Linked DNA regions of Callithrix jacchus. The protein of the gene in region 7 interacts with the protein of the main gene of each other region in a pairwise test. Links are inferred from orthologs where the notes say so. Each region holds a gene or a part of one and is shown on either strand. Other genes may lie near its edges.

Region 1 (4,891 bases), on a different chromosome or scaffold from region 7:
CAATGAGCTGAGATTGTACCACCGCACTCTAGTCTGAGTGACAGAGTGAGATTTCTGCCTCAAAAAAGAAAAAAGTTAGAGTTCCTAATACCTCCCAGTTACCACTGCATAGTGTGTGTTAGGGGGCTGCAGTCATTTCCCTTTTTGCCTAAACATCTTCATCAATTCGAATGGGGGCCATATGCCTCAATGCTGTCCTGTACCTCTATCAGCAGCTGCTCCCGCTGTGCGTACATCTCTAGAATCTTTAGGCAGGTGCTGAAGACACTAGGGTGCCAGAGAGCCAGGAGGGCAAAATGCTACTTCACCTCTGTGCCCAGGAGCCCCAGGGACCTGAGACTTCTGACTTCTCTATGCCTGACTTTTCCTTTCTAAAATACGGGGGCCGGTGAGGGGAAGGCCAGGTGCAGTGGTTCACATCTGTGAACACAGCACTTTGGAAGACCAAGGTGGGAGGATCACTTGAGCCTAGGAGTTTGAGACCAGCCTGGACAACATAGTAGGACCCTGCCTCTACAAAAAGAAAAAAATATAAAAAAATTAGCTGAGCTTGTGGTACTCGTGTGTAGTCCCAAGTACTTGGGAGGCTGAGGAGGGATGATTGCTTGAGTCCAGCAGGTCAAGGCTACAGTAAGCTGCGTTTGCACCACTGCATTCCAGCCTGGGTCACAGTGGAAGACTCTGCCTGAAAACTAAAACAAAAACAAAAACACAACAAAATATGGGGGCCGGTGGGGGGAGGGCCAGGTGCAGTGGCTCACATCTGTGAACACAACACTAAATATCCCCCACCGGGATATTTAGAGGAAACAGAATGTAAAAAGACACTGCCCAGAAAGAAGCATCTCTATGGTCTACAGAATGACCTCTACGCTGAAGTTAGGCTATCTTCCCATGCCTCTTCCTCCTAATGTGATCTGTAGTGTGACTTTCTAATAAAAACATGGCAAGAAATACCCTTGATATACAATAGGGCCACAGATGGAAATATGGTAGAAATAGAAGAACCTTGGGCCGGGCGCGGTGGCTCAAGCCTGTAATCCCACTTTGGGAGGCAGAGGCGGGTGGATCACGAGGTCCAGAGATTGAGACCATCCTGGTCAACATGGTGAAACCCCGTCTCTACTAAAAATACAAAAAATCAGCTGGGCATGGTAGCGCGTGCCTGTAATCCCAGCTACTCAGGAGGCTGAGGCAGGAAAATTGCCTGAACCCAGGAGGCGGAGGTTGCGGTGAGCCGAGATCGCGCCATTGCACTCCAGCCTAGGTAACAAGAGCGAAACTCCGTCTCAAAAAAAAAAAAAAAAAAAAGAAGAACCTTGTATTTTCTCACATAAAGGGGGTCACAGGACAAGCTGGAAAAGAAGCCAGACTTTGAAGTGGAAGACCCCACTGGAATTGTTGAATCATTTAAGTAGATACCCAACCTTGGACCAAGCTCTCTAAATCTGTTTCCCAACCTGGAAAGCAGTGCTGATAAGCATGAATCTTACAGGGGGCTGTGAGTGGGAAATGATGTAATTCAGTTGGAATCGCTTTTTTTTTTTTCAAATGCTTTATTCAAATGCAAAGCACATCTGGCCCGTCGGGTTCTCTCAGCCCCTCCACTCCTATATTCTTCTTCCTCAGTCTCCCTTTCTCATCTGGAGACGACTTTCTACCATCATGGTGGGCTGATCTTCAAACTGCAACTGGTGGTCCACTAGATGTAACTCTATTCACCAAACTATCCCTACAATTGAACGGTGGGAGTGGTTGGTAACCGCATTTACTCCTGGGCTGACAATGGGACAGGATTCCTGGTCACAAGGCCCTACGCAGTGGCCTTGCGGGAAACGGCCTCTCAGCCCAAACCCACCCAGGTTACTGAGCATGCCCAGACCTCCCTCCCGGGCCGCCAAAGGAGGGGCACCATTTCCGCAGGATCTTGCCACTGTGGAAAGAGAGGAGGGGCTGTCATCCGGCAGAGGCAAGGTCTGATACGCAGAAAGGACGTGGAGATGGGACTAAGCAATGAAGAACCCGCACTGACCGCGTTACGCAGCAAATCCAATTGCCCCCCCCCCCTTACCACCTCGGTGGCAGTAGCTCCACTACCTGCACACGCACACCAAGTTCCTACGTACCTTTCCTCCGCTTGGCTCCACACAATTCACGGTACTCACAACCTACCTCCTACTCTTCACCAGATGCGCATCCGCGCTCACTCCCAAACACGTGGCATCTGGTAACCTGGGAAACGCCGCGTCTGTGGCGCAGTGCGCAACAGGGGCGGGGGAGCCAGGCGGGGCGCTGGGGCGCCGGGAACAGCTGGAGATTTGGGGAGGGGGTTTCAATTTGTTTCTCCCCCCCCTTTTTATTATTATTTTTTGGGGGGGAAGCAGAAGAAACCAAATCGCGACACGTTCCTGCGTCCTTTTTGGCGCAGTGGTGCAGAAAGGGTCCATGGCGCCCTTGGGCAATAGAGCGGGTCTGCACCGCCTTTCTAAGACGTGGCACTGGGCTGGAATTCCGCACCGCACTCTTTGCTACACCCTTATAGACCTCAGACCTGCGTCTCTCTCTATACTCGTCTCCCATCTGCTACGCCACTCTGCATTTCTTCCCGCCATGTTGTGCCCCCCCCAACCACCACCCGCCACCTCAACCACACCAAAGTGGATGCACGAAGCGGGAATCTTACGGTTTTAGTCTCTCTGCTCCCTGCAGCCTGCCAAGGCGAGTGGGCAAACTGAAGCTTGGGTGTCCAGCGTCTCGGCTGCCCCCGTCCTGTGTCACCCCTTGTTCATCTTCAGTGCCACCCCCCTTCCCACACCTGGAGTAGGCTGGCGCCCGGCTGGTCCCCTTTTCCCATCCATCAGCTCACACCCAGGGTAACGGGGAGGGAGCCGTAGCCACAGTGCGCCCTCGACCCCGGCCGACCACAGCCTCACTACAGGTAGAGGTGCCTGGGCCGGGCAGGTGGGGGAGAGGGGCACAGGGGCCGGGGGCTGCGCCCTCCGGTCCTCACCCCGCGTGCCCTGCCCGATACTTACCCAGGCGCGGAGAGCAGTCAGCTAGCCCTCCGCTCCGCATCCATTAGCCGGTGGTCTGGCCGCTTCACTTCCGGAGCTCTGGGCTAGGGGCGGTGCCGCCCTCCCCTCTCTCTCTCTCCTTCCCTCCCCTCCTGCCCTCCCCTGCGCGCCGCTCCCCTCCCTGGCGCCGCGCCCCGCCTGCGCCCCGCCCGCGCCTCCCTCCTCCCCGCGCTGCCGGGAACTGGCAGCCTCTCCGTTCCCGCAGCCGCAGCGGCCGCCCTCCCAGATCCAACTTTGCCGCTCGCCCGAGCTCGCGCGGTGGCCGCGGGGGGCGTGGGCAGGGAGGGGAGAAGCGGGGTCAGGGGGAGGGACCGGGAGGGTGGGTCGCCGGCTCGCCAGCCCTCCTTCCTTTCTGTGCACCTTGCGGTGGGCAGCGAGCGGCAGCCGCTGCAGCAGCTAGGGGGCTTGTGCACACCGCGAGGGAGACTTAGGGACTGGCAGACGGACGGACGGACGGCGAGGACCCTCTCCGAGCCCCCGAGCCATGGCCGAGAAAAAGCAGTCTGGGAAGGCGGCAGAGGACGAAGAGGTCCCTGCCTTTTTTAAAAACCTGGGCTCAGGCAGCCCCAAGCCCCGGCAGAAATTCTGTGGCATGTTCTGCCCGGTGGAAGGGTCCTCGGAGAACAAGACCATCGACTTCGACTCGCTGTCGGTGGGCCGGGGCTCGGGGCAGGTGGTAGCTCAGCAGCGGGACGTCGCCCACTTGGGCCCGGACCCACAGCCGCCGTACTCGCGGCAGGGCCGGCGCGCCGGCGGGGAGCCATCTGTTGAATCGGGCCGGAAGGTGGAGATCCGGAGGGCCTCGGGCAAGGAAGCCCTGCAGAACATCTACGACCAGGTCGGTGTGGGGGTGGGGGGTGGAGACGCAGGACGGGGCGCGGGGATTGCCCCTCCCTCGCCCCTGAGCCCGGCGCGCCCGCCTTCATGCCCCGCCCTGGACCTCGCCTCCCGCATCTGCACGCGCACCCTCCGCCCCTTCTCCGCGCAGGGCGCGGCGAGGCTCGGGCTGGGCGGTGGGCGGCTGTGCGCCCACAAAGGCTGCCCGCGTCTCCTTGAGCTTGGGAGGTGGGGGGTGGGCAGAGGGGATGGGCCGATCCCGGGCTGGGGCGGGCGGTGGTCGCCTGGGAAGGGTTGGCTGCGGTTCCATTCTTCTGAAACCCTCCCGGGCGGCTTCCTATTGCAGCTGCGGCTGGGTGCCCCACCCTTTTTTGAGGCGGCTCGGAGCGTGGGGGGGAGGCTTTGCGTGAAGGCCCGCGGCTCCTGGGTGGTCGGGAGGGGCGAGGGTTCCGACGGCGGCTCTCTGCAGCCTCAGCCGTCGCCTCCTGAGCTCGAGTCCCGAGCTCCGAGGCCAGGACCATGGTCAGCGCCCCCCGGACCGCCCTTGACTCCTGCTGGCAGCCAGAGAAGAGCCAGGGAGGCCCTGGAGTCGCCCGCGGAAACCGAGACGCTCCTAAATAGCCTATGTGGGGAACAAAGTTCCAATAAGTGTCTCAGCCAGGGCTTCCCACAGCGCTCCCCAAGCCGCTATGTGGGAGGCGCTTTAGGAACTGGGGAACTGAGTAGGCTATGTTCAAAGGGTCAAAAAGACAAGGAAAAGGGGGAAAAACCCTCGCATTCGAAATAGACTATCGAAGAAGACTAGACCCCTCTTCTTGTGTTAATGAGGAAAACAAAGGCCAATTTGGTCAGCCTTGATTTTAGAAAGTGTTTGTCAGCCTCTGACAAATATGAACAGTGAGCATTTTTAGCGCAGTAATCGTCTCACACCACAGTTCTTCCTTTATCTGAGTGATCCTTACACTAGGGTAATCCTTTTC
Region 2 (4,421 bases), on a different chromosome or scaffold from region 7:
TGCTGTAAAGTATTATTTTATCTAGACTGAAAATACACTAGTCACTGAAACTTCTTTTTAAATCTAATAATATTTTTATAGTACATGACTAATTATCAAAGTTCCTTAATCTCATACTTAAAAGTATAAGGTATCACAAATTCAAATCCTTTCATGAGCTAGGTAGGCAAGATGAATGGGTAAAAGCTGAGAATGTAAAATAATAAGGAAGGCAAATGGTAGAGCACAAGGCCCTTTTAACAGCATTCAAATTCATTTAAACGAAAAACAGTGCTAACCCAAACCAAAATGCATGTTTGGGCTTACCTTATCCTAGAGCTGCCAGCTTTTTACTTTCATGAATGATATTTCATGTATATCAATTTAACAGTTATTTTCAAATATATAATAAAACATCACAGAAAATAATATTGAACAAGATAGAATTAAATCTCACTGCCTTTCGTTAGATGCACGTTGTGCTTTTTCACTTAGTTAACTAGACATATTATATCCATATCACAGAAACAGTAGAAAACCCTGGTAGATCCCCCAAATTCTAATGAGTTTAGAATTAGTCAACTCCAAAAAGAATGAAAGAAGGAAAGAAGAAAAAAGGGAAGAAAGGAGAAAGGAAGAAAAAGTTCTTCTACTTTCCACTCTCTCTCTCTCTTTTTTTTTTTCTTGAGACAATCTTGCTCTGTCACCCAGGCTGGAGTGCAGTGGCATAATCTCAGCTAACTGCAACCTCCGCCTCCTAGGTTCAAGTGATTCTCATGACTCAGCCTCCTGAGTAGCTGGGATTCCAGGCATGTGCCACCACACCTGGCTGATACTTGTATTTTCAGTAGAGACAGGGTTTCACCATGTTGGCCAGGCTGGTCTCAAACTCCTGACCTCAAGTGACCCGCCCGCCTTGGCCTCCCAAACTGCTGTCATTACAGGCAAGAGCCACCACGCCCAGCCCCCATTCCTACTTTCTAAATCTAAGGCTGTGAGCACTTACTTGGATTTTTCAGTAGTACAGTAAACAGACTCATCATCTGGGTAAGAACTGATGATCTGAAAATTCCTTGATCTCTGCTCTGACCATTTTGTGTTCTCATAACTTATTTCATTAACTAATTCAGTGGATTTCTGATGCATATTTTCCTCAGAACTCACAGTCAGTTGCTCATCTGGCTGTGTACTTTTATTTATCCTTTTAGTTTCTTGTTCAAGATAACTGTGGGTTATATCTGTATTTAAACAAACAAACAAAATAACACATGATATATCAAACACTGTAACTATTTATTGATATTAAATCAATCAAATAAATATTTTTGGAAATACTCTCATAGCTTTAAAGATATAATTTCTAGTCTTATTTCTACTGTAATCACATAAGCATATACAGTGTGGTTTTTACCATTGAGACTTCCATTTCCACAGTCAATAGATAACTCTGCATTTTGGAATAACCTAAGGAGATTTCTTTTAAATCCTCAGAGCTTAAAAAATCTCTGGGAGTGAGACCTAGTTTAAATTTCTGAAGATCCCCAAATGATTCCAGCATACGCTCAAGGCTGAGAATCACTGATTTGGGGATATTATTTTCTAGGTGAACTTTTCTAGATTTCTGAAAATAGTATAAAATAATTATTATAGTGAAGAGTTAATATATGTGGAACTCTGGTATTAGACTGCCTGGGTTAGAATTCCAGCTTTGCCAAGTGAATCACTTTGGGCAAGTTACTCTCAGTTTCTTTTCTGTAAAATGGGTATATAATATTTGTTGTTAAGGACTGAGTTAACATACTCAAAATACTTGGCCTAGTGCCTGACACATCAATACATGTTAGTTATTATTTTTGTAATCATCGTCATAATATTAAAATAGACACAATACAAGGGAGAATGATTTCTAACCTTCATCTCTAGGATGTATTATACATCAGAGAAGATACTTTGCAATGCCTATCTCACAAAAATTATCTTAAGCTACTGCTAGTAAATAATGGCTATTTCAAAGGGACAATGTACATGTAATGACAAAGTAAAGTTTTGGGGAGAAAATGACACACAAATACGAACACAAAGCAAACTCATTCACTAGTAAATCAATTCAACAGGCCCCAGTACTGATTGTAACTAGTACTTCCTTATTTAGGGCAGAAATATTTCTTGAACTTTAAAAGGCAGATGAATCTCACCTGATTTTTGGTGGTGCCTTTTTAAATCTGCTAAACTTACAATCGTTGGAGGCACATACGAGTAGTTTTATTTTATTTTACCCTATTTTTTTTTAAGATGGGGTCTTGCTCTGTTGGCCAGGCTGGAATGTGGTGGTATGATTATGGCTCACTGTAGCCTCAACCTCCTGAGCTCAAGCAATCTTCTTGCCTTTGTCTTCCGAATGCCTGGAACTAGAGGAGTATGCCACCTTGCCTGGCTGATTTTTATGTTCTGTAAAGATGGGGTCTTGCTATTTTGCTCAGGCTGAGAGTTGTTTTAGAATTTAAACAAAAGGGGGCACTTATAAATAAAATACCTCTCATAAAAATATTCACTTTTTAAGAAAAAATTATTTGCTTGTATATTTGCTGAAATTAGGTATAGCCAGTTATGAACTCTAGATCTTGGACATTATTCTTATTGCTAGCTAGAAGCTAGATGAGTACATCTGTTTTTGGTAAATTACTCTCTATTTCACTCTGAAGAAATGAATTAGAAGAGAGAATGTCCTATCATAATTATACAGTATAAGAGAGCTGTGAACCTTCAACATTATATTAACTTAAATTTGACAGTTTTAGGAACAGATACATCTGAAGATCACTTGTTCATATTTGACATCTTGAAATTCTTACTTTGTTTGCATTAGATAGTCACCATGCAACTTGTCTGTAATAGGCTGCATTAGCATAATGGAACTCTCAAAATCTGAATGAGAAAAGTTTATAAATGGGCATTAAGGAAAGCCTCTATATCATTAATAGACTATGCTTTCTAACACATATAACACATAACATATAACATTGTAAATAACTCAAATGAAAAACAATCAGAAATAATCACTGAAAGCATTATCAAATAACAAAATTGCCCCTAGGGACATATTTCTTAAAAACTATTAGGCCCCCCACTCTTCTTCAGTTTATGAAGTACCATGTTTCTTCAAAAGGGAAAAGAATGGTCCATGGATCACTGTCAACTATAAAAGCCCCCAGGTCCCCATGACAGCCGCACAACTGCTTCAGACTCTTGTCCAGTGCTTTTCAACCTGTTCAAGACCAAATTTACCATTATCTAAAATTAATTCAGTATATTTTTTACTTTCAGTTTTTTATTCCTAACCTCCTGGTGTTGATCTTATCTCTGCTATTTAAATTCGCTATTTGTTTACTAGTTTTATAGTTCTCTTCCTTCAGCTATAACCTAATGTCAAATTTGTGATCTCCTGAACTCTTGATAAATCACCACTATTTTACTTGTGACCATACTATCTTCTTCAAACTTAGAGCAAATATGGAAGCTTCCCAATAAGAGCTTCCCAATAAGAGGACTCTGTTGATCCTTCCTGGGTCTTAGTAAATATAAGTCCTTGAAGTTTTATTACAATGCATCAATTTCTGACACACTCTAGACTTTCATTCTAAAATTTAATTTTAAATGTTTAATATTTTTTAAGAATCCATACTGTGTGACTTGACTCTATTTCTGGATATTTCTCATTTCGTTCAGTAGTAAAAACTTTTAGATTTCTAATTGAAAAGGCTCATCAGAAATTTGGAGCTTGCTCTGCAAATCAGACTATCCATACCCTTCTACTGAAAATTTATTTTAAAAAGATTAAAAAAAATATTTTTTAGAGTCAGGATCTTGCAATGTTGCCCAGGCTGGCATCAAATTTCTGGGCTTAAGCAATCCTCCCACCTCAGACTCCCAGTCTGAGAATTTAATTTTACTTTAGAATAAACATAGCTGATTTATAAAAATTTTCCTGTCTTTTTCTTTTCTGACCAACTATTTTGGCAAATATGATTCCAGCAAATCAATGTTAAATCCTCTGAAGGCTCTCAATACTCTTCCTCTCTGCCATCCTGCATTACACTATATTAGTATTCAAATACTTGTATTAATTTATTTATTCATTCATTTACTTATCATTCATGGAAAACTTACAGTGTGATATGCCTTGTGGTAGGTACTGGGAAAACAAAGATGAATAAGAAACAAACACTCCACTCAAAGACTCTCTAGTACAGTGAGGATGGCAAACTCATCTAATGATCTGAATACAATATAATAAAGACTATGCTTGGGCTATGGAGGCCAAATACATACAATATGCTAACCATACTAATGCTCACCTGTAAGACTCTAGGAAGATTTCACATAGGCATTTGCTCCAGAAAAAGGACAAGAAGGATTATGAGAAGTAGCAAACTGCCAAAGGA
Region 3 (3,776 bases), on a different chromosome or scaffold from region 7:
GAGGGCCGCCTGCGGGCATTGTTCCGGCGGAACCGCCGGGGGTCACCGGGCGAGCGCGGGGAGGGGAGCCGCCCCCAGCACCTGCCTGGCCAGTGCGGGGTGGGGAGCGGCCCCCTGCGGCTGCCCCAGGCGCATCTCACCCTGCGCTGCCCCTGTGTGTCCAGGGCCGGCGGCACCATGAGGCAGGCGGGACGCGCGGCGCTGCTGGCTGCGCTGCTGCTCCTAGTACATCTGCGCCCTGGGAGCAGCCAGAAGAGCCCCGAGGTGGCTGGGGTCCAGGACCCGAGTCTGCGCTGGAGCCCCGAGGCGCGGAAGCAGGGCGGCGGAGCCCGCGCGCTCCTCTTGCTGCTAGCGGAGCGCTTCCCGCGCCGCGCGGGGCTCGGGATGACAGGGGATCGGCTGCGGCGTGACAACCCTCCTCTGTCCATTGACCTCACCTTTCACCTGCTGCGGACCCTGCTGGAGCTGGCGCGGACGCAAAGCCAGCGGGAGCGCGCCGAGCAGAACCGCATCATATTCGACTCGGTGGGCAAGTGATGGGCCTGGTTTGGGGCCGCGAAAACTTTGACCCCTTTCCCCCACCTCAGGGTTGGGACGCGGGGCAGAGCCACCAGAGCATTCTCTGCGTGGCTATTTTTTAATAAAAGTGCTGAAGAGCTGTTGGCTTCTGTTGTTGGGGGGGCGGCAGTCACAGCAGGGTGGGAACCTGTGGGAAGGTGGGGCCCCCTAGCCAGCTGGAAGGGAACAGGATGCGCGGGGGAGGGGGGCTCCGGGAGAGCGGCTTTCAGCCAGGTCAGCCAGGTGCCTGTGGACCCCAGGGCTCCCCAAATCCCCAGGACCTCAGGTCCCGGCACCACCGCCTTGCCCTCAACCCTCTTCCAAGGGTGCTGGGCTCACCAGTTCTCTCCTGGCATCACGGAGGTGCCCAAAAAGGGTTCATTTGGCTTCCACCCGCCCAAACGGTCTCAGGTTCCAGGAAGGGCAGAATGGTGGCGGGTCGCCTCCAAAGCCGAAGCTGAGGGATTGGGCAGCGAAAGGAGATACGGGTCTGGGAGCTCGAGTTCTTTATTAAGATCCTCCCGGGGCGGGCGCCGAGCTGGGCTACTCTGCGGTCTCTGCGCAGATCCTCCCCGACCCTAGCGCAGGCTCTTGACCAGAGTCGGGTCGGCGCAGACCTGTGCCTGGGAAAGAAGGCTTAGTGAGCAGGTGCTGAGAAGGCGCGAGGCAGCTCGAGCCCAGCTCACTCGGTCGCCCGCCACGTGGGTTTCTCCTCTACTCAGCCAACTCTGCTTGCCCTCCCAGTAACCCGGAGGTACGGTGGGGGTGGAGGAAGTGTGCTTTTCCGCCCTGGGGGATGCACCTTTGTGGCTCCGGGGTAGGGTGGTACCGAGGATTGGGGGACAGTAACCGGGGGAGGGGACATGAGTGCACCAGCCAGGCCCCATTTCAAGTCCCTCAGGACACTCACCTTAAGGCCCATCCGGCCGCCCTTCCTCCGGCCCCGCAGTGCCCTCGTCTCCGTCCAGGGCCACTTCCTCATCTTCTTCCTCTCCGGAAGTGCCTGGGCCCAAGGAAGGCCTGGTGAGGTGGAGTCCCTGCCTTTCCTGCCATTTTGCCCGCCTTGCCCCCACATGGAGGGTCGGAACCCCAGTCCCGGTGGCCCTTGGCCATCTCCCTCACCCGGCTGGAAGTCGATGGTCCGCAGCATTTCGGCCACGTGCTCTACGCTCACGGTGAATGGCTCCATGCTCTCATAGCCTGGCTCTGGCCGCCCTGCCAGTTCCACCTTCGACATAGCCCCGACCCTGCAGCAACCACACTGGGCTCAACTGGCAATGCCCCAGCACCCTCAAGCCCCTCCCCCAGCCAGTGGAGCAGCGCAGCCCCCTCCTTTCCCTTCCCGCTGTGCCTACTCACTTATTGATCAGCTCCTTGGCCTGCTGCAGGGGAGAAAAGGAGGGTGAGAGTAAGCACTGGGCCAACCTGGGCTAAGTCCCATTTCTTTCTCACCACAGTCCTGCAGGGTAGGTGGGAAGGTACATCCCATTTCATTAAGGAGAAAATGAACTCAGAGGGGGTGAATTGCCCAAGGTGGTAGGGGCAAGGCAGGTCCAAGAGACAAGACTTGAACCTGGATGTCCAGGTGCCAAGGCCCCGACTCCAGCCACTCTGCAGCACTGCCACCCTCCCCTAGAGCCCACCTGGAGGTAGAGCGCCATCTGTGGCTCTTCCATGGACTGTATGGCAGACTCCACCAGCTTAGAGGAGGCCTCCAGGTGATCTCCGTACTGACGGATGAGGCCACGAACACGCTGCAGCTTCTCCTCTTGCTCCCGGGCCAGTGCCTGCAGCAGCTCGCCCTTGCGCTCCTCCAACACTGCACACAGGCTCTCGAACTTCTGGTTTAACAACTGCTTCTGCCTCCGGCTATTGTCCTGAAAGATGGGGAGCAAGGACCAGGGAAGGCGTGGCTGAGACCCGGTGGCTGGGAAATCCCAGGGTACTGGGCCTGCTCCCCACTTGATGGAGCTCAGAGAACCAAGACAGAAAGTGACCCGTCCACAGTGCCACTGCTAGTGGCTGAGCCAGAATCCAGCCCAGATCTCTTCTATAATAAAAACACAATGTTTTAAAGTAGCTTCAATGAGTGCTGTCTATATCCCTAGCCCTGGTTTTTACTTGCGTTATTCCATTTAATTCTTAAAAAGAACCCATGAGGTAGCTGGTGTACCATTATCATCATCACTGTTTTATGAGGTTAAACAAAACCAAAGCACAGAGAAGTTAAATAACTGGATTAAAGTTTCGAGGCAAAGCTGGAATGCATACCCAGCAGCCTGGCTAAAGCCCATCCCACCACTTTCAGGACCCCAGAAACTTTCAGACCAGTTTGGCCACAGCAATTCTTCTGGAAGGAAGCCCGGGGTCCGCAGACCCGCCAGTTGCTGTTCCCCCCTCCCTCTAGCCCAGGCTCACCTCGATGGTCTGGCACACTTCCTCCATCTGTGTGATCACTGCTTGCACCCGGTCATTGCCTGCCACCAGCATCGCAATGCCATCGCTGAGCTCACTCTGACACACAAACAGGTCAGCACTTAGAACTGGGACCTGGTCTAGAGCTACACCCCTCACCCCAGCCAGGGTTGCCTAGAAGAGGGCTGTCCCCTTCACCCCACCCACCATGAGGGCATCTACAGCCCTCTAGAAGACTTGAACTATCAGGAGGTACAGAAGCACATTCTAGGGATTCTAGAAGGAGGTGGAGAGAAGAAGCCCTCCACCACTAAGTGGGAAGGAACAGACAGTCTCCATCCACCAGATGCCAGGCACAGGGCTAGATGCTTTATCTGAAGATTCGTTTCTTGCATCAATTCTGATGCAAGAAATTCTTGATGATTATCCATTTGCATAATATTGCCTCTTCTCTGTTCTCTTTATCTTCTCATTCTGGAAATCTGATTCTCACGCTCAACCCTCTCCTCTCCCAGAGATACACATTCTGTTTTGTTTTGTTTTTTTTTTCAGTCCCCTCATGCTGTTCACTAGTTCTGTTTTCAGACAAAGCGGTCATTTAATTCATCTGTTTCTTTTTTTTTTTTTTTTGAGACGGAGTTTGCTCTTGTTGCCCAGGCTGGAGTGCAATGGTGTGATCTCGGTTCACTGCAAACTCTGCCTCCTGGGTTCAAGCGATTCTACTGCCTCAGCCTCCCAAGTAGCTGGGATTACAGGCATGTGCCACCATGCCTGGCTAATTTTGTATTTTTAGTAGAGATGGG
Region 4 (4,421 bases), on a different chromosome or scaffold from region 7:
TGTCCTGGCATGCCCCTTCCCCATCATTGCCTCTGACCACACCTGGCACAGGGTCGCCTCGTTCTCTTCCAGACCGTCCCGCAGCTGCTGAAACTCTGCCTCCCGGTCTCGGAGCTTTCCTTCCAGGACACAGTGTAGCAAGGCCTCGTCCGAAGGGGGTGGAGGGGGAGGTGGTGGTGAGCGCTCCCCACAAGAGCTGCTGTCAGGGGAGACCCGGGTACCACTGCCCAAAAGCCCCCCAGCCACACGGCCCCCCAGGGAGCCTGTGCTCTTGCTGGAGGAAGATCGGCCACTGTCTGAGTGGGAGGGCCCAGTAGGGGCCCCTCGGGCTGGCCCAGGCAGTGCCCCTCGCCCGGAGCCATGGGAAGGCAGGTGCCCGCCTGGGGAGCTGGTGGCTGGCTCGGCACCTCCAGTGCTGTAGGTGGGCAGGCTGGACAGTGAGTTTCGGCCAGAGTCAGACAGTGTCCCTGATGGGCAGCCACTGGCCCAGCCACTTAATGCCAGGGGTTTGTCAGCAGCAGAAGAGGAAGAGGAAGAAGAGGAGGAGGAGGCAGGGCCCCCAAACAGCTGCGTCAGGCTGCCCTGGCTCCCAGACAGCCCGGTGGCCCGAGGACCCATGAAGCTAGGCAGGGACGGAGCCCCTCGAGGTCTGGGCAGCACTGGCTTGAAGGCTGTTGGGCGGATCAGGATCTTCTCCATGTTCTGAAATGAGGTGCCATGTGACACTGGGGATAAGCTGCCCAATCTTGCAGAGCCCTTATGACACTCCCTGCCCTCCCATCTAGGGTCCCTAATGCCATATAGTCATAACAATTGCAGCCATGGGCGGAAAGCCTCCTGAGTGTCAGCTTTGTGTCAAGCAATTGAAAGGTTCATCCCCATTATCTAAATATTATCACTATCCCCATATCACAGATGAGGAAATGGAGGTTCAGCAAGGTGAAAGGCCTTGCCCAAAGTCAAATGTATAGCTGGTGCAGAATAACCAGAATGTAAGCAACTAGCACGTACTGCACACATGCTACATGCCAGGCACTATACTATACGTTATTTGACCTTCATTTCAGTTATAGAAACTGAGGCTCAGGTTAAGTGACTTCCCTGAGGTCACACAGCCAGAATGAGAGACAGCTGGGACTAGGACCCAGTCTGGTGACTCTGGAGCCCACACTCTTTCCTCGATATAGGCTTCTAAATTCCAGTTTCCCAAGGGGAGCTCCCGATGTTACCCAGGCACACAAGGAAAAGCCAGTCCTCACCTTTTCCAGCTTTCCAGAGACAGGGATGAGCTTTGGTGGTGGGCCACGGAGGTGGGCATTGCGTGCCCGCTGCTCCCGGGGATCCTCCACATCACTGCTTGGGCTGGGGGGTGACTCTGTCCGGAAGTCCTCGTTGACATAGGTGAAGCTGGTGACAGGGACAGCCTTCCTGGGGGGCACAGCTGGGCATAGCGGCTCCTGTGCCTCATAGCCACCCCGAAGCAGGCCATCCTGCTGGCGGAAGAAGGTGGGCCCAGGAGGGCCATGGTGGCGGGGAGGAGCTGGTCCCCCAGGGCAGGGCCGGCCTGAGATTAGGCTGCTCACACTGCCCATGGCTGGTGCTTGTGGGGCAGTGGCAGCTTCAGGAGCAGGTTCCAGTGGCACTGGCAGAGTCTGCACGATGGCCATGGTGGCAGAGGCTCAGGCCTGGCCAGCGGCCTCGCAGGTGACCTGTAAGCAGGGCAGTGGTGTCAGAGTCCCTCTACCTTGAGACCCCTCCTGACCCAGTAACAAGCCCAAGTAACTGATGCCTCCTTGACATCAGTAACAAGCCCTGATCCCCACCGAGACTCCCCCTTCAAGTGCTGGCATGAACCTCAATTCCCCCTGGGCCCCAGACCACAGTGCCCAATGTAGGTCTAAACAGGGCTAAGGATTGAGTTCACTCAGCAGAGATGCTGAGGTAATGACCACAAGGCCACTTGGCAGCAAAGACCCAGGCCCAAGCCCAATCCTGCATCCTCCCCAGAGGCCAGGACTCAGGTGAGGGAGGGGCCCTCTCTAGCAGCTCCCAGCACAGGTCTCTGGCCCTCTGAGCCAGGTGGCCTCATTACAGGGTAGTCTGGGCAGAGGCACCTCAAGGTTGCAATCAGCACCTGAGATGGTAATTAGGGAATAAAGAGCCAAGGCCAGGCAGTGCCCTGCCTCCCCCTGCTGGGCCTCAGTTTCTCCCAGAGAGGCGGCTAAACTGCCTCTCTGTGGATCTGGCTAAATAAGAAACCCATGGCTCTTAGGGAGTCCACAGGTGTCCTTCAGGGTCTCCTGCCTCCCAGAGGTGGATGCAGGCTCATACCAGTTTCCATGACAACTCCTAGCCTCTGCACATCCAATCAGGCCTAAAGGAGCCTCCACAGGCTCTGCCCCACTACCAACCTCTGTGAAACCCTACGGCTTTAGAAGGTCCCCAGAGAAACCCTGAGGGGAGGAAGGTAGATGCCCCGCCTTCACCTTTGTCGGCTGCTCCAAAGCCTCACTTCCAGGGAGCCCAGGCAAGAGGGCTCCACCTCCCCAGGCCCTGCTCCTTCCAGGAAGCAGATGTGAGCCTCCACCCGGAACCCCCTCCCTACTCCCAGTCCTGAGGCCACTGATGACCAGGACTTAGGCATCTGCTGAAGTCATCATGCAGAGCGGGGCCAAGAAGTGGACAGAGAATTGCACTGGGAGTAGGAGTGTGTGCATTTAGTTATTTGTTGTGTGACTACATGCACAGGAGCATGGAAATGAACACCATGTGTATATACGAAAATGTGTGTGAAAATATGAATGTGAGTCTATGCATGTTTGATGTTATCAGCACATTCACACACGAGTTCCCGTGTGAATTCACATGTGTATATCTTACAAAAGTACATGGGTAAGGGGTCATTCTTAGAAAGCCTGTGAAAGTTATAAATGTGAATTTGTGGTGTGTGGATGAGACGGTGCCTGGACAGATGCGTCAGCATATGAGTTTATGTGTGAGCTCCTAAGTGTTTGAGTGTGTGACTAGAAAGGTGAGTGCACCAGGGTGTGCAGGTGAGCCTGTAAATGTGGGCAGGTAGGTACCAGAGTGGTGGGAGCCTGGGTGGCTTGAGGACCAGCTGGTGAAGGGAGCCTCTTTCCTTCCCCCTCTGGCATGTGGGGAGAGGTGGGACATTAACTCCTTTGCCTGATCTGTTCCCCTTCTTTCTCGTATGCGCTCCATTAAATCCACTGCCCTCCTTCCCACCCAAGTCAAAAGACACTGCGAACCAGGAAGAGGTGTTCAGGCTGGGGCCAGAGCTGTGGGGAGCTGGGGGAGGGGTGAGCCAGGCCCAGGGAGCAATCACAGGCCTCTATGCAGGGCTGCAGCTCAGACCACCCCACCGGTCTCAGCCCCGAGCAGAGCAGATAGAGAACCCCTTCCCCTCCCCTCCCGTCTCTGGGTCCACTCCAGGGTATGGAAAGAACAGTGGGGAAGGGACTTAGGGGGCCCAGGGGGCTGGCACCTCTGCTGTATTTCCCCACTTCATCGAGCAGGGAGAAAGTGAAAACTGAAGGAAGGAGACAGACTCAGAGAAAGACAGGAACCCAAAAGAGACAAAGACTCGGAGAGGCCCGAGGGTCAGGCTGACAAGGAGAAAGCCAGGCAGACCCAGTGAGCCAGGGCCCCCCAACCCCATGGAGCCGAGGGCCCCTAAGTCCAAAGTGCCACAGAGCTGGGCCCTGAGAGCCACACACCCAGGGAGCCAGAGCCAGGAGTCTGGAAAGCCAGGCCCAGCCGGCCCGGCTCCCGCTCTTGGAGCCCGAGAGAGAAGGAGGGGCAAGTGGCGGCTCCATTTTGAGAAATGCGTTTGTGGCTGTGGGAGATGGGAACCCCTCATTCTCCTCAGCACTCCCTAAGCAATCACTCTGACCCAGGAGCATCCCCCTTTTAGCGGGCTGTGGGGAGCGGAGGGCTGGAGCTCGTCCAGGGCCGGCGAGGGGTCTGAAGAGTTGGGCAAAGTCTCCCTCCCACCCAAACTCCAAGAACCAGTCAAGCGGGGTCAAGTCTGCGATCACGAGTTCCCGCTCCGCGGCGGGAAGCGGGGAGCCCCCAACCCATTCTCCAGGGGCCAGACCCGCTTCAAGAAAGTGGGGGCGGCTGGGCAATGCCCTCTCCCCGCTGGACTCCACCGCGCAGAAGTTGGGGGCGCCCCAGGCCGCCTCCCAGCCCCGGCCCCCCCTCACCTCCGCCGCGCTGCTCCATGCTCAGCCCCAGGCCGCCCCCAGCGCTCCACAGGCGCGCCGCCCGGCTCCGGCCCCGATCCCGGCCCGCGCGCCGCCACTCCGAGCGGCCCGGGCCGGCCCCGCCTCCGCCTCCGCGGCGCCCCCCGGCCCAGGCCAGCCCCCGCCCAGTGCGAGTGGGCGGCGCTGCGCAAGGGA
Region 5 (4,421 bases), on a different chromosome or scaffold from region 7:
AGGCATTGCCAAATGTCTCCTGGGGGGCAAAATCGAGCCCTGGTTGAGAAGCACTGCTTTCAAACACATCCTCTGGCCCCCATCATTGTTTTTGTGTGCTTTTCGCCATTTTATTAAGGTAGACCAGATAGTCAACTTCCCAACACCAAACGCACATGTATGTCAGCATATGTGTGTCTCTTTGCAGGTATCTGCATGTTTCTGGAGCTGAGATGGAATTCCACGGCCACTGGAGGACGTTAGTTCAGTTCCTCAGCAAGTTGAAGGACAATATATCAGTACCGTAATAAAAAAGCCTGTCTGCATTCAGGCAGTTTCTTCTTCTCCAGCAGAAATCATTGTCAATATTTGCAGTCAGTTTTTGAAGTCACTTTCTTTTAAAGCTGGAAAGAATCTTCACCCAGGCCCACCCTCATCTTAATCCACTATTTAGAGTCCTACTTGAATGATATCACCAGCAACTTTCAACTTTGGATCCACATTTCTTTATTTGTATCCACCAGGAAGAGAGGTACCAGGTTTCTGAGTTCTATTATAAGCACTCGCTACATAACTTGCAAGGCCCAGTGCAAAGTGAAAATGCAGGCCCCTTGTTCAAAAATTATTAAGAATTTCAAGACAGCAACAGCAGAGCATTAAATCAAGCTTAGGGCCCTTCTGAACTCCTGGGCTCTGGGCATACCCATGATACCAGACCTGGCAGTCTTGGTTGGTGCTGCATTGATTTTATTGTATTAATTTAATTGGCACTGCCATCTTTTTTGCCACTGTATCGCAGTGTTTCCTGTGGTGAGGGCCTCAAAAAATAAAATACTGTGATCTCAATCCATTTAAAGACAATGCAAAAATTACACTACAGCAAATTTTTACAGCATACATTTTTTAGACTTTCAAAAAAATTCACATGGGACTCTTTTCTACATCATTATAGTAATTTAACATGGTGGCCTTTCACCATATACATATTTTCCTGTAAATATGACAACCTGGAAATAGTAACTGCTACTATCCACAATGCTTTTAAGTTAGCCAAGAGTGAGACTTCCACAACAAAATTATGACATAATCTCTCATGTCCTTATAAAAATAGCCAAAACATACCCTAAATGGCTTACTGTGAAAATTGGAGTAGTGACTTCTTAATATTGAAAAACATTATTTTCAAGGAAATATTGTCCTTCTAGTAAGTGTTTTATGTTAACATCATAAGGCAAACTGTAGCATTTATTGGTACCTGGAGACCATGATTTTAAAAACTCAGAAGCTGAGTTTTAGACCCTTTTATTTAGAACCTGTTACTGTACAAAGTGCATTAAAATATCCATTATCCAGTTACTCAAAATGTATGTAAAAATTACTGAGACAACCCTTTCAGTTTATTCAGAGAAGGCAAACACACATTGCTTTTATATTGTAATAAAAAGAAAAACCCATAAGGTTTCCAGAGAAAGATTAATTTTTTTCCATTGAGGTGTCCATCTTTTAGATGTGAAATTGTCTTAGGTATCTATCAAAATATTCATCTGGGTATAAATAATATAGTAAATATATAGAATCTATCTGTTAAGAAAAAGGAGAGTGTCTGCTAGGGAAGAGGATGGAAGGACCCAGGAAGCTGGGTGGCCTCCCTTGAAGTCGAGATTTGCAATCACATGAGCTTTGGCTACGTGATGCTGAAACAATGGATTCATTGACTTATTTCAGGGAGGCAGTTGGTTGATTTGGTTAAAAACAAAATCACTAAAACAATGTCTAAATCCACTAGTCTGTTCCATCAAAATGGCTGACCCAGTATACCAGGTAAATATTTTAGCAATTGAAACCATTTACAGAGGTCACACCCTTCAGCAAAGTAGAACTGATGCCAGAGTTCTGGTCCAAGAACTACTCAAGAAAGCCTTAATTCATGGACCATTCCAACGCATCAGATTGGCATGCAAAGAATCCCAGCTGACATTTTATAAGCAAGTTCCTGAATAACAAGTTTCTTTTTTTTTTTTTTTTTTGGTCTTACAACTCTATTGTAAACTATACTAGACTACAGAGGGACTTCTACATCTTTCAAGATGTGTTTAATAAAGGTCTGTTTATAATAACTTTTGAGGCATGTATCTAGTAAATAGTACTTTATGCAATGTCCCTTGTTATTAGCAACTCATAAATATTAAGTGTTTTTCAGTGACTTACATTTGGATATGGTAGCAGTGATCAGGGCCATGTGCTGATGTCCTGGAGAGCAAACTCAATCCAAAGTGGTGCTGCTATTTGTGACAGAACATGTTTATTTACTCAGCCCCAGAGACAAAAGGAAAATTGATATGGGGGAGGGGGAAATAGGACAACTATTAAACGTAGTGAAGAAATTTCACAGGTCTAAAGGAACTGTTAAAAGGAAGGATGAAGTAGATTTTATATCATAAAACAGAATCCTACCTATGATAAAAGACAAATCAGCCTGAATTTTTGAATAATCAATAGGATTCAAAATAACTATTTTCAATTGCAATCTCATTCTTAATGTTCTTCCAGAACTCTTAACCCTGAGAGAAGCAGGGCAAAATGTGGCCAAAGGATTCAGAAACTTTCTTTTCAACATCATCCCATCAGCCATCAGAGGGTAAAGATTTAGCCACGGCAAAGTCCGAGGTCCAAAATCAATTCTTTTCATTCTCTCTCTTGTTCTCCATTTTAGTTGATGCAATACAAGTTTTTGACATCACGATGAAAACACTTCAAATTAAACCACAGCAAGAAAGCCTGTTTACTCCCCTACTAGTTTCAAACACATCCTGATATGCACTGTCTAGGTAACAAGACCTACATGGGATCATTATGAGATATTAGGTTCGAAGGTAAATAAACATACAAAATTACAAAAGTGTTTTTTTTCTTTTTTTGCAAGCCCATAGATTGTGATGAAATAAAGGTTGTAAATAGCTGGTAAACTTATGGGCCTTTTAATGTGCAAAACCAAATAATTCCTAAAAGTTGTAATCCCGATTATGTTTCTCTTATAAATAATCTATAGATTTTCCTCTAAATACAAAAAAATTAAAGAAATTATTAAAGCCCATACTTAATACAAGACACAGTAAAAGGAGAGGAATCTCCTGTTTTGAGCCCTATCTTAGCCGATTTCTGGACACTTTTGGTGAGATTTCATCACTCTCATGAAGCCTGTGCTTTCTCAGTCCCCTAAATAGTGGCCTGAACCTTATTGTTCCCCGGAAAGCAGCTCCATGTGGCCAGACACTCATGGCAGCTGCTCTGTGCAGTCCAAATGGTCTGGGATAGGAAGCCCAGTGATAATCGTCAGACACTTGTTCCACACGGTGAAGGTGGGGCACACGGGCTGCGCAAATGCGACGTCGAAGGTGTAGAGATGGATGGAGTTCAAAGCATCATAGAAGGCAATAGAGCCATTATCATAGTCCAGCAGGATGCCCACGCGCCGGAGGTGGGGGGCAGGCTCAATGGGGATTTCCTTGCTATTGTGTCTCACCACCCAGTTATTGTTGCAGCGGCAGAGCGCCCAGGAAGCAGAGTTCTTCCCAATCCATTCGTGCTTTGGGGCTGATTTGTAAGCAAGGCCAATGGCATACCTGCAGAAACAAAACAGCAACAACAAAAACAATAAGCCATGTTGCACATGCACGTTAAATCTGTTCTATGGTCCTCAGGGGTTATGAAAAGATAATCATTTGTTGTTCCTCTTCATTTTCTTTAAGTGAAAGCTTGGCAAGAACCCCAACATCTGTGTTCCTCATCTCCTTCTTTCCCAAACATGTAGTGGGTAGAAAGAAGCATCGTATTTACCCACATTTCTGTTTTCAGCTCAGACACTATAAAGACTTTGAACTTTGTGTTTTGCTGCTTTTTTTCACTCATAAAAACCTACACAATGAATTTGCTAGACCAGTGCTGACCAAAAGAACTTTCTGCAATTATTGAAATGTTCTGCTCTGCTCAATATGGTAACCACAAGCCACATGTGGCTACTGGGCACTTGAGCTGCAGCTGGTGAGACTGAGGAACTGAAATTTAAATTTATTTAATTTTCATTAAGTTAAATGATTTAAATAGCTGCATGTGGCTCATCACTACCATACTGGACAGCACAACCCTAGACCTTTTGACCTTCTTATATTTTTCACTTGACACCATGCCTGTCACTTTCTGATTCTGAATGCACTTTGCCAAGGGCAAGCGCAGAGGATGATTCCCATTTGTTGGGATAAGTCCTTTGTCATTAGTCAGTCCTAGTTTTCTCATGTATACCACAGGGACAATGATAGTCTCCATCTTGCAGTGTTATTTTAAGGAGTAAAGGAGAGAATGCATGTTAAGTCCTAGGCACAGGACCTGGCATATAATATTCAGTAACTGCTATTTTATTATTATTGCTTGATGACACATATTAA
Region 6 (4,421 bases), on a different chromosome or scaffold from region 7:
TGGCCAACATGGTGAAACCCTGCCTCTACTAAAATACAAAAATTAGCAGAGGTGGTGGCACATGCCTGTAATCCCAGCTACTCGGGAGGCTGAGGCATGAGAATTGCTTGAACCTGGGAGGTGGAGGTTGCAGTGAGCTGAGACGGTGCCACTGCACTCCAGCCTGGGTGAGACTCTGTCTCAAAAAATAAACAAATAAACAAACCAGGTTTTATGTTAGACATGCCTAGTCTTTTAAAAACATCCTTAACATTTATCTTCTAATCAAATAATAAATATACTATTAATGAGTATTCAGTGGTCTATAGTAGGGTCCTAAAAATAGGACTTATTGATATGATCAGAACTACATAAAGTTGCTGACAAGGTTTGAACTTCTCCATATATAATATTTCCTGAGAACAGGATTATGCTGAAGAGTTCCTGACCTTTATAAGCCCTACAATCTATTTTTATTTTTTAAATACTTGGCATTTTCTCGTCCCAAAGGGTGTGAGATTATCTTAGGTTGTCAACTTGTTTAAAAGATGCTATTCCAGGCCGGGTGTGGTGGCTCAAGCCTGTAATCCCAGCACTTTGGGAGGCTGAGGCGGGTGGATCACGAGGTCAAGAGATCGAGACCATCCTGGTCAACATGGTGAAACCCCGTCTCTACTAAAAATACAAAAAATTAGCTGGGCATGGTGGCGCGTGCCTGTAATCCCAGCTACTCGGGATGCTGAGGCAGGAGAATTGCCTGAACCCAGGAGGCAGAGGTTGCGGTGAGCCGAGATCGCGCCATTGCACTCCAGCCTGGGCAACAAGAGCGAAACTCTGTCTCAAAAAAAAAAAAATTGATGCTATTCCAAGGCTGGGCACAGTAGCTCACACCTGTAATCTCAGCACTTTGGGAGGCCAAGGCAGGCAGATCGCTTGAGCCCAGGAGTTTGAGACTGGTCTGGGCAATATGGTGAAAACTTGTCTGTCTCTCTACCTGCACACGTGCACACACACACTCACACACTCACACACACACACACACACTAGCTGGGCATGGTGGTGTGTGCCTACAGTCACAAACACACACAGAGAAAAGATGCTATTCCAAATAGGGAAGGTAAATGAGTTTTGAAAGTCTTTAATTTCACCCCTCCATGAATTCTGGACAATACTTATTTTTTCTTTTATTGTTTAGAGACAGGCTGTCACTATGTTGCCCAGACTGGACTTAAACTCCTGGGCTCAAGTGATCCTCCCACATCAGCATCCCAAGTAGCTGGGACTACAGGTGTGTGCCACCACACCTGGCCATTCTGGATGATACTCTGTAAACTTTTGAAATGAGTACCTCTGGAGGTCTTCAGGTCCTAATACCTGCATAACCTGCTCATTCACATCTTCATTAATCAGCCTACAGAGTTTTCCAACAGTGCTTACCAACACACACAATGAAGATGAACTATCTGCAAAAGAGAAATAAAAGGATATTTCAACAGAAAATTTCCAAAATTACATACATCAAACATTTTATGCTTCAGTTATCCTCAATTTTTTTTACTTAAGAAAAATTTTATCTACTTTTTGTTAATTTATTAAAAACAATTCTTAAATGGGGGCCAAAAATGACAAATTAGGTCATCACCTAATTCTAAGAGTTCTTGGAGGTTTCTCACAGCATTGTTCATTTCTCCAAGCCTAGTATAAACTTCATTCATTCGAGGATAGACTCCATTTAAAGAAGGCACATCAAATAATTTTTGGAAGTGAGAGACAATAGCTTGCAAAGTTTGAAAGTTTGGCATATTGCTGTCCTGTCCAAAAGAGAGGTAAAAAAGAAAGAGTTCATATCTTAAAATAATCCCAAATAAAAACTTTTAAAAGAAAAACAGAACTCTTGTAGAACAAATATTAATATCCACATCAAATTATCAATTTTTAAGATAAGAGTACATTAGAATGTGACCATTTATGTAAGTATTATTACCTTTTCTTTATTTTCAACTTCTTCCAACATAGTATCTACTATAAATAACAAATCTTCAACTTTGATACCTTCATTTGCATCCTGCTTCTTCAGATTATGCCAAGGTACCAGTTCTGCAGATAGTGTTTTCAAGGACTTATACAAATCCTTTATAACAAAAGAAACTATATGGTATTATTGATTTAAATAATTTCTATAGTAATATAACACAATTAATAAAATTATAAGTTTTATGTATTTTATAAAATTAATAAAACATTATATAGGCAGGTTAAAATATATATATATATGTAACCATCATTGGTATTTTTTAATAACACTATTACCAATTTAGAACAAGTCAGTTAAAATTAGGTTTCTCCAGGTAAACATAGGCTTTACAGAAAACATTACATATTGATTATTCTGCATTTGGGTGCTCTAAGTAATTTTATATTATTTATTATTGTTTCATGTTATTTTGTTATTTTGAATTGTTGATACATAAAGAATAAACTTGCCCTTGTATTTTAGTTTTGAATAACAGATTTATTGAAATGTAGTTCAGATACCATAAAATTCACCCTCATTAAGTATACAATTCAGTTTTAATATTTTCACACATGTACAAACATCAGCACTATCTAATTTCAGAACATATCCATTACCCCAAAAAGAAATCTCAGACCCACTCACAGTCCTTCCTTCCTCATTTTTCCTTTCCCACAGCTCCAGGGGATAACCTCTAAACTATTTTCTGTGTCTATGGATTTGCCTATTCTGGCCATTTTGCATAAATGGAATTATACAATAAGCAGTCTTTTATGAATGGCTTCTCTCACTTAGCATAATGTTATAACATGTACCTCCAGGCAGGTTTTCAATGTGAAAGGTTCTCTAAATGTATTCTACTTTACAATACTCTGTTTTCTTGTCCTAGCTGTGATGCCCTAAGTGATTTTAAACTGTGCACAATGGGCAAGGCTACTGGAAGTTTAGCATTCTAGACTGGTCAGTCGACAAATACTTACTGAACCCTAATCCAAAAATCTGAAATGCTCTAAAATCTGAAACTCTGAGCAACATGACACTCAAAAGAAATGCTCATTAGAGCATTCTGAATTTTGGATTTTTGGATCAGGGATGCTCAAATGGCATATACTCCAAAATCTGAAAAAATTCTTAATCTAGCCCCAAGCACTGCAGATAAGGGATACTCAATTCATATATGTATGGAACAGTGCTTAGTCCTTTAGAACAATGCTATCCAAAAGAAATGTAATGTGAGCCACAGTAATTTTAAGTTGTCTAGGGCCATAGTATGAAAAGTGAAAAGAAACATGTGATATTAACTGTAATATTTTATTTAACCCAATATATCCAAAATATTATCATTTCAATATAAAATCAATATTTCAATTTTTCCCATATGAAGTCTTCTAAATCCAGTGTATATTTTATACTTCTAACGCATCTCAATTAGGACTAGCCACCTTTCAAGAGATCAATAACCACATACAGCTAGAGGCTACCATACAAGACAGCACAGCTCTAGAGAACAGAAAGAAGTACAAGAAATTCTTCCTTTTTCGAACTTATTTTAGTACTTCACTTGACACTCTCCACTTAAGGCTCACACTTCACATATTGGTATCTTTAACCTTTCGTTTGGTAGGAAGACAGTTACCTATTTTAGTAATTCACAGCAATACATTCTGTGTCAAATGAATGTTTTACAATCAGTGCCACTAGAATTTGGGAGGAAAAAAAAGTCAGTAAGCAACAGCATAATGACCCCTTTATTAATCAATGCTCCAGCTACAAGGCACATTTATAAAGTAATTTATGGAAAAAAGCACACCCAATCTAATACATTTTTGCTTCAGAATAAAAGAGTATTACAAAGCTAAGAAAAAGATGTTCTGGTCTCCTAAGCAGTGAGAGGATGGTTGTAGCAGTTCATCAAGTAAGCTTTGAAAAATATGAGGGTCTCCTAGGTTCTTTACATTGCCTAGTTGTGGAGACGTAGAAGTACTACCATGGGCCGGCCTACCATGTATGTCTGGCCTCTGAAGCACTGGAGAATAGGAAAGTCAAAGTATTCAAGAGTGTACTGGGTTGGGGGAAGCTATAACATCTGTAGTTCACTTTCTTGGAAAGGCAGGAGGGAAAAGACAGAAAGATGGAGGCAGCTGGCTCCATGTCTTTCCCAGCTTTCTTTTCTTCCAATTTTCAAAACTAGTAAAATAGACATAAAATTCACCATCTTAACCAGTTTTAAATGTAAGTTCGGTGTTATTAAAAATGTTCATAATGTTGTGTAACCAACACCACCATCCATCTCCATAACTTCTTCATCTTGTAACACTGAAGCTTTACACCCTTTAAACAGCAACTTCCCATTTCCTCCTCCCGCTAGTAATCACCACTCTACTTTGTCTTTATGATTTTCACTAAGTATCTTATGTAAGTGGAATCT
Region 7 (4,421 bases):
TCACTGCAACCTCCACCTCCCAGGTTCAAGCAATTCTCCTGCCTCTGCCTCCCAAGTATCTGGGATTACAGGCACCCAACACCACACCCAGCAAATTTTTTTTCTTTTTTTGTATTTTTAGTAGAGATAGGGTTTTGCCGTGTTGGCCAGCCTGGTCTCAAACTACTGACCTCAGGTGATCCAGCCACCTTGGCCTCCCAAAGTGCTAGGATTACAGGCATGAGCCATCGCGCCTTGCCCATAATAGTTATCTTTTAACCCAATATATTTATACATTTATTTATGTCTGTCTCTTCCAATTAGATGAGATCAGTGCGTTCAGGGTGGTATGGTCATAGACTGTCTCCTCCAGTTAGAATGTAAGCTGTATAAGAACAAAGTTTTTTAGTTTCTCTTGTTCATGGATATAGCCAGCACCCCTAACACTGCCTCACATATAGTAAGTGCTGGGTGTTTGCTCAATGACTGGGTTAATGAATGATGTTGAGGTAGGTAGAAGCCAAGCCTAAAGAAGATTCAGAAACCATCCTAACATCAATAGGAAGAATGGGAAGCTGTTGGAGAATTTTAAGTACAGGCCTGATCAAATCAAATACCTGCTTCTGGAAGATTGCTGTCTGCAGAGTGAAAAATGAGTTGGAGGGAAGCAAGGTCAGAAACATGGATACCAGTGGGCAACTGTTGAATACATTCAGGCAAGAGATGATGCTCATCTAGGTGTAGATGGTGCTGTGAAGCATGTGAGAGACAGTCTATGAGGAAAAATTGAATAGGGTTTAGTAATTGATTGGGTGTTGAGGGTGAGGGCAGGGGATGAGGCAGGAACGCCTCCCAAGCTTAGTACTGGGTGGACAATGGTGCCATTTGCTGAGCTGTGGATGGTTAGCAGTGTAGACCTAGGAGGGAAAGAAGGTAAGTTTAGTTGATGACAGGTGAGATTTGAGGTGCCTGTGAGTCATCCAAGAGCGGATGTACCGGAAACACCTGGAGTTAGGATCTGGCGCTAAGGAGAACCACCTACAAAGTCCAAATTTGGGGGATTGTTGGCATGTGGAGACAAAATGTCAGTTCCCCCTTATTTAGCTTTTATCACACACTGCCTTTGTTAATGACTTATTGATATGTAGCATTATAGCCCCCACTTGGATTATTAGGCCCCTTTCCAGATGCCCACACATGTAGCCTTCCAAAAAAGCAAGTTATTTAAATGGACTAACTTCATTTATTGAAATGGACTGGTGGATTGAAATCTGAACTCTACTGTCTGACTTTAAAGGCCCTCCAGTCTGGCTTGACCTTGTCCCCCTAGCATTATTTCCTGCTATTGCCTACAAGACACTTACAGCCAAGCCTTATTTTCACTGGGTCTGGGACACACTCCTCCTGCTCCCAAACTCTACATCCAGCGCCTAACTGTCCTCACCACTCATCCTCTAAGTGCATGTTGTCTCTAGCACTCATTGTGGCATATAATCAAGCCCTAATGTGTGTAAAATGGTAGTGAAGAATGCAGTCTAGACCCAGACTACCTGTCAGGCAGATTACCCAACTTTTCGGTGCTTCAATGTTCCCATCTAAAACTGGGTATAATAATAGTAACTACTTCTGCTGGGCGCGGTGGCTCACGCCTATAATCCCAGCACTTTGGGAGGCTGAGGCGGGTGAATCACGAGGTCAAGAGATCGCGACCATCCTGGTCAACAAGGTGAAATCCCGTCTCTACTAAAAATACAAAAATTAGCTGGGCATAGTGGTGTGCGCCTATAGTCCCAGCTACTCGGGAGGCTGAGGCAGGAGAATTGCTTGAACCCAGGAGGTGGAGGTTGCGGTGAGCCGAGATCGCGCCATTGCACTCCAGTCTGGGTAACAAAAGCGAAACTCCATCTCAAAAAAAAAAAAAAATAGTATCTACTTCTTGGGTTTATAAGGGTTAAACAATTAACATGGGTACTCTGTTCAGAAGTTCCTTCTACATAACTGAGTATGGTATGTTCACTATTATTTATGACATTGCTTTCTCATTGTTTCCTGTGCATACATTTTGTTTCTCAAGCATGATTGCAAGCTCCTGGGGACAGGGAGCTACTGCATGCCTCATTTGTTTCACTGCACATACCCGCATCTATCACAACCACATGTGAGGCCTGTACTACATAATGGCTGAAGTTAAACTGACTAATGTTTCAGCCATCCTTGGCTGGGCTCATCCATTTAGTCTCCCTCTTCTAGGTCCAAGAGTGCCTCAGGATGGATCAGATGAAGAGGACGAGGAGTGGCCCACGCTGGAGAAGGCTGCCACTATGACAGGGGTGGGCTACCATGCAGAGGTGGTGGTGGACCCTGAGGATGAGCGTGCCATAGAGATGTTCATGAACAAGAACCCTCCTGCCAGGTAGGCCTGGCAATTTGGGATAGTGGGTCCTTGAAGAAAGTTCCCACAGGAAAACAAGTTCCCCGGCAGACTTATAATTCCCTACTTTTGGAAAGGGCCCTGGAGTTGCTGGTTGTAGGGGACCACCTTGACAAAGCTGGCCTGTCCTGAAAGGACCACTGTGAGTGGGAATGACCCAGCCTCAAAATGCCTTGTGTCCTTCCGTCCATTATTGTACTACTGCCCAATTGTCAGGGAAACAGCTACAGGCCCCTTTTATACCTCTGGGGAGAGCCATCCTGTTGCATTTGGTTTTGGTATTCTTGATTTTTTTAGTGGAAGCTCAACTTCTTGGATAAATCTTCATACCCTGAGCTTCATTTAAGCCAGGGGTTTTCAACCTCAGCATACTGACATTTTGGGCTGGGTAATTTTGCGTGTGTATATGGAGGCTATTCTGTGCAGTGTTTTGCAGATATCTCTCATCTCTACCTTCTAGACTCCAGTAGCAACCTTCCCTCTAATTGTGATAACCAAAAATGACACCAGACATTGCCAAATCTCCCCTGGGGGGCAAGATCGCCCCCAGTTAGAACCAGTAATTTATTCCCATCTATAGTAAATGCTAGCTCCAAACATGCAAGCATTTAGACTGCCTGTGGTCAGATTACTGAGCCCATAAATTTTGGCCCTGGGGAGTGGAGTCTAGGATAAGGCCCTTAAACAGTTCATTCTGACCCTGTGATATTACCATGATGTTGTCCCTGATACTTTAGGCTATTTTGGCTTAATGTGTCTCTCATTGCTAATCGTGCTGTAAGACAGGAGGCTGGTAAATTCTGTGGCAGCTTATTTGAAAATACAGAATGAGGCCAGGCGCGGTGGGTCAAGCCTGTAATCCCAGCACTTTGGGAGGCCAAGGCGGGTGGATCACGAGGTCAAGAGATCAAGACCATCCTGGTCAACATGGTGAAACCCCGTCTCTACTAAAAATACAAAAAATTAGCTGGGCCTGCTGGCACATGCCTGTAGTCCCAGCTACTCAGGAGGCTGAGGCAGGAGAATTGCTTGAACCCAAGAGGCGGAGGTAGCGGTGAGCTGAGATCGCGCCATTGCACTCCAGCCTGGGTAACAAGAGCGAAACTGTCTAAAAAGAAAATAAAGAATGAAGAAAATGAGCCCATCTCCCAGATTGATGGTTGACAGTTGAAATAGATGTCACAAAATACGTACCTGGGCTTGTCCCACCAGAGAGCCTCTCAGGTTCTCACTCAGCACTTCATAACTCCTACTTCACTGGTAACTCTGACAAACTTGGCAGAATGCTTCTCCAATTTGCAGTAAATAGAATAGACAAGCTCCCTGAAGTAAACAGAACTCCAGGCAGTCGCAGGAAATGATAGCTAGCATCTTCAGAAAGCAAACCTAGATCCATGTGGATTCAACAGTCAAGAGGCCATTTAGTTTAAAGGCATATTATAAGGTCCTATAAAGTACCTTAAGAACTTCAAAAACCTGAGTTTGACTGTTACTCCCCACCTGACAGCTATGAGGCCTTGGGTGAGTTACTAACCTGAGGCCCAGTTCCCATGTCTGCATAAGTTTCCGTGTCCCATAAGTGTTGCACTGACTTTAGGACTGAAAAGTCCCAAACTCAGTGCCTGGCACTGAGTAGGACCTCAGAAAAGAGGAGCAGTTTGTTTTTTTGTTTTGTTTTGTGACAGTCTCACTCTGTCAGCCACCCAGGCTGGAGGTCAGTGGTGTGATCTCTGCTCGCTGCAACCTCAACTTCTCAAGATTACTGGCATGCACCACCACGCCCGGCTAATTTTTGTATTTTTAATAGAGACAGGATTTCACCATGTTAACCAGGCTGGTCTTGAACTCCTGACCTCCCTCAGCCTCCCATTTTTGGGATTACAGGTGTGAGTCACTGCACCCAACTCAGGAGCAGCTTTAAGTACATTTCAGGCTGGGCATGGTGGCCCACACCTGTAATCTCAGCACTTTGGGAAGCCAAGGCAGGAGCCCAGGAGTGTGAGACCAGCCT

What was found.
Region 1: the proteins of BYSL (region 7) and PNMA2 interact in binary tests that used the Homo sapiens proteins (3 or more experiments, as listed by UniProt). The two-hybrid records come from large-scale screens. The link is inferred for Callithrix jacchus from reciprocal best matches to the Homo sapiens genes BYSL and PNMA2.
Region 2: the proteins of BYSL (region 7) and MIPOL1 interact in binary tests that used the Homo sapiens proteins (3 or more experiments, as listed by UniProt). The two-hybrid records come from large-scale screens. The link is inferred for Callithrix jacchus from reciprocal best matches to the Homo sapiens genes BYSL and MIPOL1.
Region 3: the proteins of BYSL (region 7) and TRIM54 interact in binary tests that used the Homo sapiens proteins (3 or more experiments, as listed by UniProt). The two-hybrid records come from large-scale screens. The link is inferred for Callithrix jacchus from reciprocal best matches to the Homo sapiens genes BYSL and TRIM54.
Region 4: the proteins of BYSL (region 7) and LZTS2 interact in binary tests that used the Homo sapiens proteins (3 or more experiments, as listed by UniProt). The two-hybrid records come from large-scale screens. The link is inferred for Callithrix jacchus from reciprocal best matches to the Homo sapiens genes BYSL and LZTS2.
Region 5: the proteins of BYSL (region 7) and MID1 interact in binary tests that used the Homo sapiens proteins (3 or more experiments, as listed by UniProt). The two-hybrid records come from large-scale screens. The link is inferred for Callithrix jacchus from reciprocal best matches to the Homo sapiens genes BYSL and MID1.
Region 6: the proteins of BYSL (region 7) and CEP70 interact in binary tests that used the Homo sapiens proteins (3 or more experiments, as listed by UniProt). The link is inferred for Callithrix jacchus from reciprocal best matches to the Homo sapiens genes BYSL and CEP70.

The regions. Positions count from the first base shown.
Region 1 is NC_133514.1:15,060,908-15,065,798, reverse strand, and holds the start of PNMA2 (paraneoplastic antigen Ma2), read right to left. Parts: upstream 3,093-4,891; 5' UTR 2,684-3,092; intron 2,227-2,683; exon of another isoform or gene 2,127-2,226; intron 1-2,126. Other genes in the region: DPYSL2 (dihydropyrimidinase-related protein 2), read left to right, coding at 3,559-3,912.
Region 2 is NC_133509.1:71,917,836-71,922,256, reverse strand, and holds part of MIPOL1 (mirror-image polydactyly gene 1 protein), read right to left. Parts: intron 2,905-4,421; exon of another isoform or gene 2,832-2,904; intron 1,218-2,831; coding exon 986-1,217; intron 1-985.
Region 3 is NC_133515.1:87,713,873-87,717,648, forward strand, and holds the end of TRIM54 (tripartite motif-containing protein 54), read right to left. Parts: intron 3,073-3,776; coding exon 2,977-3,072; intron 2,436-2,976; coding exon 2,202-2,435; intron 1,941-2,201; coding exon 1,918-1,940; intron 1,806-1,917; coding exon 1,681-1,805; intron 1,562-1,680; coding exon 1,470-1,561; 3' UTR 1,469-1,469; intron 1,182-1,468; 3' UTR 1,048-1,181; downstream 1-1,047. Other genes in the region: UCN (urocortin), read left to right, coding at 178-537. UniProt on the Homo sapiens protein: May bind and stabilize microtubules during myotubes formation.
Region 4 is NC_133513.1:93,956,536-93,960,956, reverse strand, and holds part of LZTS2 (leucine zipper putative tumor suppressor 2), read right to left. Parts: intron 4,354-4,421; exon of another isoform or gene 4,227-4,353; intron 1,710-4,226; 5' UTR 1,668-1,709; coding exon 1,260-1,667; intron 703-1,259; coding exon 43-702; intron 1-42. UniProt on the Homo sapiens protein: Negative regulator of katanin-mediated microtubule severing and release from the centrosome. Required for central spindle formation and the completion of cytokinesis.
Region 5 is NC_133524.1:10,650,884-10,655,304, forward strand, and holds part of MID1 (E3 ubiquitin-protein ligase Midline-1), read right to left. Parts: intron 3,603-4,421; coding exon 3,254-3,602; 3' UTR 1-3,253. UniProt on the Homo sapiens protein: Has E3 ubiquitin ligase activity towards IGBP1, promoting its monoubiquitination, which results in deprotection of the catalytic subunit of protein phosphatase PP2A, and its subsequent degradation by polyubiquitination.
Region 6 is NC_133518.1:45,829,172-45,833,592, reverse strand, and holds part of CEP70 (centrosomal protein of 70 kDa), read right to left. Parts: intron 2,111-4,421; coding exon 1,964-2,110; intron 1,791-1,963; coding exon 1,622-1,790; intron 1,443-1,621; coding exon 1,328-1,442; intron 1-1,327.
Region 7 is NC_133505.1:50,427,654-50,432,074, forward strand, and holds part of BYSL (bystin), read left to right. Parts: intron 1-2,229; coding exon 2,230-2,392; intron 2,393-4,421. UniProt on the Homo sapiens protein: Required for processing of 20S pre-rRNA precursor and biogenesis of 40S ribosomal subunits. May be required for trophinin-dependent regulation of cell adhesion during implantation of human embryos.